2 linked regions of the Arabidopsis thaliana genome follow. The protein of the gene in region 2 purifies or fractionates together with the protein of the main gene of each other region. This does not show direct contact. Each region holds a gene or a part of one and is shown on either strand. Other genes may lie near its edges.

What was found. The genes of interacting proteins can lie anywhere in the genome.
Region 1: the proteins of AT5G15980 (region 2) and AT3G18760 fractionate together in Arabidopsis thaliana (co-fractionation; one large-scale study listed by BioGRID). This does not show direct contact.

Annotation. Positions count from the first base shown.
Region 1 is NC_003074.8:6,456,400-6,462,364, forward strand, and holds AT3G18760 (Translation elongation factor EF1B/ribosomal protein S6 family protein), read right to left. Parts: upstream 3,327-5,965; 5' UTR 3,160-3,326; coding exon 2,977-3,159; intron 1,768-2,976; coding exon 1,531-1,767; 3' UTR 1,278-1,530; downstream 1-1,277. Other genes in the region: WNK6 (with no lysine (K) kinase 6), read right to left, coding at 107-144, 345-431; AT3G18770 (Autophagy-related protein 13), read right to left, coding at 3,627-3,993, 4,514-4,695, 4,783-5,965.
Region 2 is NC_003076.8:5,210,066-5,216,841, reverse strand, and holds AT5G15980 (Pentatricopeptide repeat (PPR) superfamily protein), read right to left. Parts: upstream 3,781-6,776; 5' UTR 3,553-3,780; coding exon 1,546-3,552; 3' UTR 1,168-1,545; downstream 1-1,167. Other genes in the region: KIN2 (stress-responsive protein (KIN2) / stress-induced protein (KIN2) / cold-responsive protein (COR6.6) / cold-regulated protein (COR6.6)), read right to left, coding at 4,401-4,475, 4,590-4,658, 4,820-4,876; KIN1 (stress-responsive protein (KIN1) / stress-induced protein (KIN1)), read right to left, coding at 6,369-6,443, 6,551-6,619.

The sequences.
Region 1 (5,965 bases), on a different chromosome or scaffold from region 2:
AAAAACAAAATCACTAAAATGATATGAGTACATTTCTAGGAAGCTTCTGATATCAAGAATACTCTAAATCTCCGAAATAAATATGAAAACAAACCGAAAAGGATACACAGTCTTGAATGCCCCTTTTCCAATGACCTCTTTATACTGAAAGGTCCACAATTGATTGGTTAAGAACATCAGAGATCTAAATCACCTCACAATATTTACTCAAACCTTAACATTAAGAAGTAAAACAAGCCAAAGGGAGGTGGAACTTGGTTTCATAGTATCGACCAATTGAATGGTAAAACACTTAACAAATAGAAAAAAGATAGCATTCCAATTTCCAAAGAGCCTCTTCATACCCGTATATATCGAAAAGTTGGATCAACTTCGAGCACTTCGGGGTCAGGAGGCTCTTGAAGTGCAGAAGCATCATCTGTACCTTCCATTCTTTCTTAAACCTTGCAAAAGTTGACAACAGAAAACAAATCCATAAAAACACAGAACGATCATAGAAACCCTTTAGATTCTTTTGGGTGCAACACCTTGAAATAAAAAGAATTTCAAGGACAACAAGATACTCACACGCTAATTCAACTCTAAATCCAATTTTTTGTGAAACTTTTTAACCTTCGATTACTATCCAGCTCATATCAACAACAAAGACAAAACAGAACAAAAACAAAATTAAAGTAAAGCTCGTCAAAATTTAGGATCGTGACATAATTTTTATAAAAAACAATCCAATACTCTTCTTCTCAGATTATATTCTGTCAAAATATCCACATTCGACACAGGTATAAACAATTGACATGAACTATTTCATAATTTTGAGAGGAGAAAAAAAAAATGCATACATGAGTATACATTCATATACATTCACATCAATGCATACATTCATATGAACATAGAAAACACACGATTAAAAGATTTTCTCTCTCAAAAAAAAAAACGGTATAAGGCAACAGAATCGCGTAAATTTGTATTAATAAGATTCTGACGTTTCGATTATACCTGGAGAAACGAAGCTTTGTTCTGTAATTGAGACGAAACGGAGAAGGAGAACAACAATGGGAAGAAAAATCAGAACCCTAATTGAGAGAAATCGATGGATGAAGAAGAAGATGCAGCGACACGGGAAATTATAACAAGTGTTTGTTCTTAGCTCATTTACGAACCACCACCTCTATTTTAATTTCCTTCTTTTTTCCCAATATTAATTTTTAGAAATGATAATTTTTCCAAGTCCTAAAAACAGAGAAACGCTCTCCCCATGCAAATATGACGTGTCAATACACGTGGCATTTAATTCGGGGTTGTCAACCCAATTGATGACGTTGAATATCCACTAGGAAAATAGCGAAAACAATAAAACACATGAAATTTAGTTCAATTTACCTAAAAATTATTATTACATAAAATTAATTTATTTCATTGTCTACGCAAAACGCATACCACCACTTCATGTAACCAAAAACATTCATAACCATTGAAGGGGACTCCCATGAAGAAATTGTCTGAGTAAACATTTCAAAGAAATTGATTTCCTCATCGTGATAACCCTAAAATGTTGTTGTCATCTTCGTCCGAGGAGGATCCATCATATAAGCTCCCACTAGTGAGTCTGTTAGGCACAGTCAGACTATCTTCCTTTTCCGACTGTCCAATCTTGATGTCACGGTGTTTAACTAAGAGCCAGCGCAGCAGTTTGTCTTCCTTGTTCAGGTAGTGAAGCTCCTTGTTCATGTTTGGAGTTGTCATCATTGTTATCTGCATCAATTGTCCCTGCAAAACATTCACCCGATATGAAGGCAGAAAACACTTAGCAAACGCATGACTCTGCAGATTAGTAAGAGAGGAAAGCTAATAAAAGTGGATGTTCAATTTTCACTCTCTGCAGATTCTATCAAAAATACATAGGAGATTGATGTTTAAAGCTTTTGTACTGATACTCTCAAAACATATGATAATCCTACATCTATAGTTGATCGAAACAAATGTATCCCGTTACTTCCTAGGTATGTATGAATTATATATTCTCCTTCTGTTCCTATATAGCCAAATTGTCTAATAACAGAAACAGTTTGAAGAAAATGTATAAGCGAAAGCTGCGATTATTTGTACCAGGTTATCTTACAAGTAATCAAATTTCAAACTGAAGATCCAAAGCACAATCAAATTCTTTGGACAATTCAGTAGATAAGAACTTATCTAGAATCCTAGCTGTTGTATTACCCTCATCAGGATTTTCTGGAATCTTAAGTTCGAAAGGAAACACTGTCGAGGAAATGAAAATCTACAAAATACCATAGACTAAACGCAACGTTTGTGACTAGTAAGAAATCACAAAACAAGTATCACTTCAGGATCGTAGCCAGTATTTGTGTACAAGACCGCATAATTTCCCCCAAGTCCAGCTATTTAACCATAAGAATCAATCAGAAAGTTACAAGACACAAAGCTTTTTCGAAAGGCCAACCTAAAACATAATGCTAATAATAAGATTGCTTATCTATCTACGGTTATAGCATCAAACTAATAATCAAACTCCACACTGAAGATCCAAAGCAAAATCAAGCTCTTTGAACAATTGACTAAGATAGGAACCATTCTAGAATCCTACTGTTCTGTTATCCTCATCAGGATTTTATAAATCGGGTAGACAAAATCACGCAAAAACAACCTTTACTAGTAACAATATGATGATTTTGCTTCAAGAATCCAACTGAAAGTTAAACTAAGCGTAAGTAATCTGGGCGAAAGAAGTATCAGTCCATGGTCGTAGCAAGCATTTGAGTAAAATGACTGTATAAATTCCCAAAATCTAGCTATCTAACCATAAGAATCGATCAGAAAGATGAAAAAGACAAAGCTAACACAAACCTAAACTAAAATGCTAATACCATTGAATCGGCCTGGAGAAAATCCTGATCAAACAAACTCTACGGACTCATAAACCATCGATTCAGTAAGAAAACTAACGAAATTGAATACCTGATAGTGTCTTCCGTCGAGCTTTCTAATACCGTAACCCAATTCGACCTTGCCAAAGGATTTGATCTCGGTGAGGACGCCATTTCTGCTGTAAACGTGTTTACCAATGCGCGCAACGAGGTCGATGAGGCCCTCCTTCCTGATTATAGGCTTGAACAGAAGCATACAGTCGTAGAGCGGCATTTTTGATCCTTCTTCCTTCCGACAAGAGATTAGCTCTGGCTTGTTCTCTCAGGTTTACCTTAGGGTTTTAGTCTTCTCAGATTTCGCCGATTGGGTCATTACCAAACGGCGACGTGTTGTTAAGTTTTTTTTAGTGAAAACGACATCGTGTTGCTATATATATTATTTTTGTCTGAGAGTTCTTAAATTTGATTTGGAAAATGAAATAAGAAATTGTAGAAAGCTTTCATATTAGTTGACAACAAATGAAAGCTTTGTAATGATTATAAATAGTAGTTAACATATGTTTACCATTTTATTTACATGGAATTTTTTTTCTTTTTTTCCTGGGTATAAGTTTATTTACATGGACCAATATCATCCAAAGAGTAGAGAGCTTAATATTATTTACATAGGCACACATTATATGAAAAAAAAAAAAAAAAAAAAACAAACCGAAACCCAAAATGGGTCAAGATTCTGAAACATCAAACATCAAAGGGTGAAGTAATAGTAACCGAGGAAGGGTTTGATGTGGATTGACCAAGCAACAAATGATTCTTCATTTCTTTGTAAGACCTCAACTCTTCCAAAGCATCAGCTGTTGTCTTTGAGGCCAGAGCAATCCCCGAGGCTGTGATAGACGCTACTGCTATCTCATGAGCCCCTGCGGGTTTGTTGTTGTTCGAGCAAATTTCAGGTCTGGAAGATTCAGAGACATCTTGTCTGAGAGGTGGCGCTTTCTTCAGCATTCTCACAAGGGCACCAACTGCAGCATCTTGGGACTTCTTCGGGTATGACCCGCTTGAATCGAATGGTTCATGTATGTCTCCTCTGTGGTCAAACGACCCTGGTCTGAAATAAGGCAGTAAACCAAAAATCAGTTTCTTCTACTGGAAACAGTTACAAAACAAAGTCTCAAGAACTGAATCAGAAACCTTGAGACGAACCATTTCAAGTCATTATATGATTAACTTATTATCCCCAAATATATCATGATATTAGTGATAGAGAAGAGTTACGATTTCTTGGTTTCTCTACTAAACAGTTCTCTTTCTTCTTTTTAAAAGATCAGTACAAGAATACCCCAAGATTGATCGAAGCTACACAGATACAGAAGCATTACAGTAACCATTTCGGTCTTATGGCTGTAAAATCTCAAAGAAAGAAAGAACATGAACTAGCTTCTTAAGCCCTACTGATTAGCATAAGAGGCCAGGATTAGTAAATCACTTATTTAGAAAGTCAATTGGTTTTGAAATATAATAGCTATCCACTTAGAAGGACAACCTAAAGCAATCAAAATATTAAATGCTTGGGCTGTAGATAAATTGGAAAGGAGAAAATGAGATATGTAAGGTTTTTAAGACCATACCTGCTATTCCGATCTGTAATATCATCATACTCAACATCAAATGGGCAAGGGAAATCAGGATCATCAAAATCGTCTTGGAAAGATCTACTGGAACTCCGGGAAAATGATATCCGCGGAGAACTGCTGGAAGACGGCCTCACCCCAGAAGGTCTTCTAAAGTCATCTCTCCCATAAAGAAACAGCTAGAAGGATAATGAATATCAGTTTAACTCGTTAAGTCACATGATCAAGAAAACAGATAAAAGATAAGACATGTGGAGTACGTTTACCTTATCTATTGCTGCTCCAGATTCACCAGGACCCAAGTTTCTCACAGGCTTCAACGAAGCGTGTCTCGACAACTTCAGATGAGCAGAAGGTGCCACAACGTTTTCTTTGGACTGGAAAGTTGGAGCTGGTATTCTGACTGGAGCACTTTCAGTACGTGTGATGCCTCTTGGGACGGCGTGTTTTGGTGCTGAAGGAGAAGGAGGAGGGGAGAAATCTTGACAAGGAGAATACTCTTCGGGGTAGCTTTCCTTCCTACGACCAGTGGGTATATCAGAAGGGTGAGGAGGAAGATGACGAGAGCAAGGATGTGAAACCAATGCATGTGAATCCGAGCGTGTAGGCGATGGTGAGCAAGAAACAGAAGGTGGAGATGCCTTGTAACGATCGAAACTCCAGCTATGGCGCCTTTGAAATGGCAGCAATGGAGGAGAACCATATGAAAGAGGAAGGGAAGGGAACCTCTTTAAAGGATCAGCCAAGGGACTTCCAACATAATCGGTTATAAATGTTGGAGACATAGGTGTAGAGTGTTCGCAACTGACATCTGAGAGAGAACGATATAAAACCGATAAGCAAAGTCTACCACAGATCGTTTCAACCGGTGTGAAAGAAAACTTCTGCATTTCTGCTTCTTCTTTACGAGTGAATGGCTCAACTATAGAAGGGACCCTAGGAACAAGCTTGAACTTGAAGATCTGCCCCGAGGAATTGAGTTCCCGAAAAATCTTATAAGCAGGTAAAAGCCTAACCATGACAAACAATGATCTAAGCAGCAGAGTAGCTTTCTTATACATCACTTGCAACTTATTACTGCTTGACCTCCTGCTACTAGTAGTAACAGATTCCCTGATCTTCCTATTATCATATTGCACCACCCATCTCTCAATAATCTGCTCGTTCTTAGTCTCACATCCCAATTCATCTTGATCAGAATTCCAACCAGACTGATAATCTTTCCCGGAGAAGTTCCTGATAAGCTCCCTTTTACCAGACTGATCACCAACAAGTGGCCTCACCACAAGAACAACATCAACAACCAAAGGCTCAAGACTGCTTCTCCGCCCGATATCGAAACTCTCTAAAGCTGCAGGACATTCCCTAAGAGCTAGATTGAACCATTTGTCTCGAGGTCTAACACTCGAGGAAGAGGAAGAAGATGAGGAAGGAGAACAAATCATCTGC
Region 2 (6,776 bases):
TTCCATCACCCAATAGTGTCGCAACATTTTAACAAATCCAAATAATTTATTGAAACCATATAATGTTACAGCCACCTATTTATATGTCTAAATACTGATAGCCATATCTTAAGTTCATTCAATTTGAATTTTTTTTCTCAAGCTAAAAATTATACACGAATCTTAGGAATCATCACTCATGACTCATATATAGCTCAGTTCATATATATAAATCTTTTGTTGGGTTAAATATTAAGAACATTCAAATAGACCTTGTAACGAATTGAAGCAAAATCTTAAACTCGAAACATGCGTAAATATTAGATTCACATAAATCGGTCCCAAGCAAGCAGGTAACTAAGCGTGCTTACTTAGTGCTTACACCATTGATATCCTCTCTTTTTTCTTTATAGCTTTTTTTGCCGGGAAAGTGATTGAAACTTTGTCTCCTCGTTTTGAAAGTTGAAACCTTTAAACCTGTTTTTCTCTTTTGCCAAATTCCGACCTAAGAAAAAAAGAAGAAGCATATGGGATTGCTTCAAAAACCAGAAACCCGCCGGATGAATCCAAGTGTTTGAAACGGTCCCCTTTGTTAAATAGCAACTAATCATAGAGAAATGATGACACATCTCTCTCTTTTCTTTATTTCACTCTTTCACTCTTTTGTCTCATTTCTTGTAAGAACATTAATCAAAGCTTGTTGTCTTTTTATGTTGCTATGTCGCTCTCTCACCGATCTGTTCCTCCTCGTTCAGTCCTTTTTTCTCCACACTCTCTTCAGAAAATTTCAAAAGACTTTGCAGAGATGATGCTATTGACAATGAGAATGAAAACGGTGCAAGATTTCAAACATCCACATACAGAAGAATTACAGATCAAGATTGCACAAAACAGATCGATATAGATCGCGACAAAGATCAGCACTACAATGCAAGATGCAATTACTAAACGGACCGTGGTTTGTGGTCCTGTTTTTCTATCAATAATCAGAAAAGAACAAAGACTATGGAAAACTATCCTTGAGAGTTGAGTCTCTCTCTATGTTGGACTAGTTTTCGTATCTTAATCTTTCAGGCCCATGAGCCATGCATGTTTACAATAGGCTTGGTTGATTCTCTTCAACAAAAGGCACATCATTTACTTCTCAAATTATAAACTAAACAATGGGACTTTCATAAACAGATTTTCTCAACATCAAAGATCTTCCAATTTGATATTTGGTAATGTCAAGCACTAGTATCTGATCAATAGGCAATACATTAGTGCGGAGAAAAAGTTAAAAAGAGAACAGAGTTACAGACAGATCTTGTTAACAAATAATGATGATACACGGAACAATCCATGGCAGAGCCAAGAAGCATAAGATGATAAGCAAGTGGAATATAAAAAAACATAGTACCTTAAAATTATTTTGCCAGTGCACCAGGTTGATGAAGAAAGTTAACTGGTGACTGGTGAGTGATACATGTAAACAAAAGGGAACAGCAGGAAATATTCTGGCCAAATTATTTGAATCAAATGCCCAGAAACCAAAAAGACTTGAAGGAATGTAAACTAAAACTGGAGCTAAGCAGAAGCAGCCAAAGGTTTTTCTACAGCAGATTCGTTGGGTTTCATGGTATTGAAGAGTTCTAGAACATCCGGATTATTACGGATATAGTTTGGGCACAGAGAGAGTAAATCTTGTGCTTCACTGTGTCTTGCAGACTTCATCATAGTTTCGAATACACGCAGAACCACTGATATATATGGAAAGTTATTCGAGGTCATAGCCTTCAAAAAACCGAGAGCTTCAGTGCTTTTTCCAGTTGATGAGAAGTAACTCATGAAAGGGTCAATGAAAGGAGGGAACCCGTGATCTTTCATTATCGGTAGAAGACTCAAAGCTTCTTCAAACCCACCATCCCTTGCAATCTTCTTCGTCAACAGATTCGTCACCAAGCTTTTGTATGTGCTATGACGAGGTTTCAGTTGATTTTTCGTTACTTGTGCACTCAAAAGCTTGTATGCATCTCTTACTTGATTCTTGTTGCAATAAGCAAGAACCAACTTCTCAAATGAATAATCAGCATAGGAGACTCCCGTGTTTCCAACCATTTTCTCGAAACACACTAAAGCTTCATCAAGATTCCCGGAATCACAATACCCTTCAACAAGAGACGCCATTGCCTTGTCATCTAGATTGTTTCCGGATGATTCCATAAAGTCTACAAATTCATCAGCTTCGTCCTTCTTTCCCTTACGACTAAGACTTGATGCAATCATGCTCTGCATATCACCACTAGGAACATAGCCTCCTCTCTTCATTTCTTTCAACAGCTCATTGCTCTGTTCAACCCTATCCACGCTTCTCAAGGACTTTAAGACAGATTTCAGCAAGGAATCCGTCAAAGCATTACCATTTTTGGTATAAACTTTCACAGCTCTTGAAAACAAATCCATATCTAGAATCTTGGCAGTGACAATTTTCTTGAGCAACAAACAGAAGCAGTGTGGGGTGGGGTTGTTACTACTACTACTACCTGCCATTGCAATCTCAAACAAGTCAACAGCTTCCTTGATCAATTTAGTCTGGCAGAACCTCGTTGAAACTCTAACATAAGTCTCTATTTCCACTTCATAACCAGCACTCCTCATTTCTACTACAATGTTCTGAAATCTATCAAGAAACTTCTCTTTTCCCAAAACCCTAGCCATAGCATTATAGGTTTTCTCATCATGCTTAAAGAGATCAGACTCATCAATCCACCGGAAGAACAACAAAGCTTTCCTGGGTTCAACATCAAGACGTTCCACAATCATCTTCACTAAATCACTCTTAAACTCAACATTCAAATCTCTTACCCGTTTCTCTACATCATCACCCCATTCTTCCTTCATCACAATCTTACACACCCTATCGCAAACATTCTCCGCCGAATTATCTAAACAATCTGAAGTAAAAAGCTTTCTCAGCCTCAGCAAATCACTCTCCAGCCCATCTTTCTGAAATTTGTCACCCACTTTATCTCTAACATTAGCCGATAAACCATGCCCTTTCTTCTTCATCACATCAACCAACCCCCAAAACTCATCAACAAGTCCATTACCACCCAGAATCCGCAGCATCATGTTATAGTTCTTCGAGCTAAGTTCCTCAGGAGAAGCCTCCTTAATCCACTGGAAAAAACTTTTGGCAACATCAGGGTTTGATTCGAGCTTTCTCAAAACCTTCAAAGCTAAATCTTGGCTAATCACTACACCACTCGATTCCAACTCCTTCCTAATCTCATCCTCACCACTCAATCTACTAAAAATATCAATCACGGTAGCCTCAGCAGAAGATTTCTCTTCAACCGCAGGCTCGGACGAGAAGCTTCGACCCACTGATTTCACTAAGTTGCCAGAGCTCGTCATTGGGGATCGTAAGGGACAAAGTTGTTCACTTTGTTGCAAAGCTCCGATCCCAGGGTGAATGAAAGAAGAGAAAGATCGCGATGAAATGGAGGTTACCTGAGAACAAGGAGATAGATAAGGAAGATGAGAACGATGGTAGCTTCGAAGAAGCATCAATCGCCATTGTTGATATCTCATCTCGGATTTGAGCTGGGTTAACGAAACTAAAAAAGGGTATAGTGAAGTGGATTTGATCTGAATAGAAAAGCTTGATCCTTTACAGTTTACAAAGAAGCGAGACTGAAGAACAGCGATTGCGAAGCTCTGGGAAATGTTAGGGTTTTAGTGAGGATTTTGATTTTTGACTTTTTGAGGTAAACGAAACCATCTAAGGCAAAGAGAAGGTCCCATCACAATGACGCAGAGCAAACAAAAATAAAAACTTAATGATATGATAATTCGAGTTTAGCCCCTAGTTTTATTATAGCTACCAGTTTTTTCTCATATAGTTTTAATTGGATCAGTATTTACCATGACCATTGACCACAACGATTTCGAACTTCCTAACTTGCAAGGAATCCAGAATCATTGCCTTCATTTATTAATCTTTTGTTCTTATAAATATCCTACGGAAGTTCTAACTTCTAACTTGTTATTTTCGTGATCTCAATTTGAGTACTTTTAAGAATCTATCTTTGCCTTAATGTTATGACTTTTTAAGATATTTTTTTGCTTATGTGACCCTTATAATTCAACGTAGCCGAATTGAGAAATGGATGGACATAAAAGTCTATAAGCATTAAGTGCAATAAAAAAGAGGATGGTAAAACAAAGTTCTTAGAACTTAAACTAGATTTTGTTGATTAAACTTAAAGTTCCAAACGTAGTACATCTAAAGGGAGAAGAAACATTAAAACATTACAACACTAAAAACAACAACAAGTACGATGAGTACGAGAATCAATTATGACTCCCAAATTTTATTTGAAAATCCCAACAATTAATTAGAAAAGGGAAATTATAACTCCCAAAGTTGACTCGGATCGCTACTTGTTCAGGCCGGTCTTGTCCTTCACGAAGTTAACACCTCCCACTGCCGCATCCGATATACTCTTTCCCGCCTATAACATTTACATCAAACCATATGAAAATATCAGAAATCTGCGTAAATGTATGCTCTAAGAAGACTTTTCATTCTTTACATAAATGTCATAATGTGTGTATAGATCGTTTACCTGTTGCGCGGAAGCTCCAGCTGCAGCAGCAGCATCCTTGGCCTTGTCCAGCAGAACATTGCTCTTCTCCTATATAACAACCATGGTCAACACAAAATCAATTACATAATTACGACAAACTAAATTAAACAAGAAAATGGAAGTTCTAGGAGTGATCAAGTTTCAACTGTTTTCAAAGAGTTATAACTTGAACAATCTATCAGTACTCTGTTCTAAGAGAGAAAGAGTACCTCAGCTTTGCCAGCGGCCTGACCGGCTTGGAAGGCATTCTTGTTGGTCTCTGACATTTTTCAGATATTTTTTTCTTGTAAAATCGTTTTTGATGTGTGTTTTGTTTGTGATGGATTGAGAAGATATGTGGGCTTAAGGGTTTATATTTATAGGCCAAATGGAGATACTTGTGTGGTGCCACGTGTAATCTGAAACCACGTGGATTACGTTTAATGGTACGATCATTTTTGCCTTATGTCGGTAGCTTTTTATTGGCTGATCAAGACATCACGTGTCGTTTTAGTTTAGTTTATCAATTTGTTATAGAGGATATGAGACTCTTTCTGTGCGAGTGTGTGGTCCTCTCGCCTCCGTGTTTTCTTTTCGACTTTATTTATTAAGTTGAGTCTTTCAAGATATCTCGAATCCTCTATCTATATGTTATAGTAAAGATTTTCTTTTTAGTTTTTAACAATATAGCTTGCTCTATAGCTACAAATAGAAATATGTAACGTGGGGTTGTTGCATATGCGTTTGGCAAACATTTCGTGCTCTTCTTGGCGAAGAAATTAAAGAAAAAAAACTTTATTATTGAAAAAAAAATGGTGCCTTGTAGAAGGTGGGATAGTTAGATGCTACGTTTGGCAAGTTAAATGTTGTGTTTGCCGAACCTCCCGTATTTTCATGTTTTTTTTCTTTGATTTATAAAATAAAAATTGAAAATGTGTATATAAATTAGTTTTTGTGAATTAGTAACTTTCTACTCAAATCCAGTTTGGAGCCAGACATGTCATATAAGTTGTATATTTGTTGACAAGTTGAATCGTATTGACTTATTATTCGTTGGTTGCAACTAACAAGGTTTTGATGTCCGATCAGTAGTAAGCCCATGGTTTGGAGGTGCGGGGAAGGATACGTACCCTTTGGCCCAACAGTATGAAGTAATTCTTGTATGAACCACAATTATACCTAGATATTTTATTTGAGTTTATGTTTGCCAAAAACAAATAAAAAATGTTTGCCAATCCAAACAGTTCATGGTTGAATTCTACTTACAAAATGTACTTTTATTCTTCATTTTCCCATCATATTATGAATAATATGAATCCAGTACTACGATCGATATATTTTACCTTGTGTAACCAACACATCGTTGGTAATTGGTAAGACCATAAGAGTATGTACTGTATAAAGTTTTCTTTGCGTTTTTTTTTTTAGTTAGTTCTCCTATATCCATTATAACAATTATAGTGATTTCCTTCTGTGTGTTTGGAAGATTTAGTGTGTTTAATACAATTATAAGGACTGCATTTTTAGAAAACTTCAACAATTCGGATCGACTTATGTATCGTGATCCATTTAACATCGTTTGGGGAGTTTGATCTTTCGCATAAAGAATATTTTTTAAAATAGATAAAACATTATTTGAATATAAGTTTGGCTCGTCTAATAATTTTGCAATATATTTATATATATATAATGCAATTCTTGATCAAAGATCGTTTATTTGAAAATCCCAACAGTTAATTAGAAAAGGGAAATTATAACTCCCAAATTTGACCCGAATCGCTACTTGTTCAGGCCGGTCTTGTCCTTCACGAAGTTAACACCTCCCGCTGCCGCATCCGATACACTCTTTCCCGCCTATAACATATACATAACCATATCAGAAATCTGCGTACATGTAAGCTTACAAAGACGTTTATTTCGTTACATATTATATGTTATGTGTCTGTGTATGGATTGTTTACCTGTTGTGCTCCAGCTCCAGCACCAGCTGCAGCATCCTTGGCCTTGTCCAGCAGAACATTGCTCTTCTCCTACATGACAACCATTGTAACCAAAAATCATCAATTACATAATTACGACAAACTAAATTAAACAAGTAACTGAAATTTCTAGTAATGATCAAGTTTCAACTGTTTTCAAAGAGTTATAGCTTCAACAATTTTTTTCCAGTTTAAGAGTTCTGTCAAA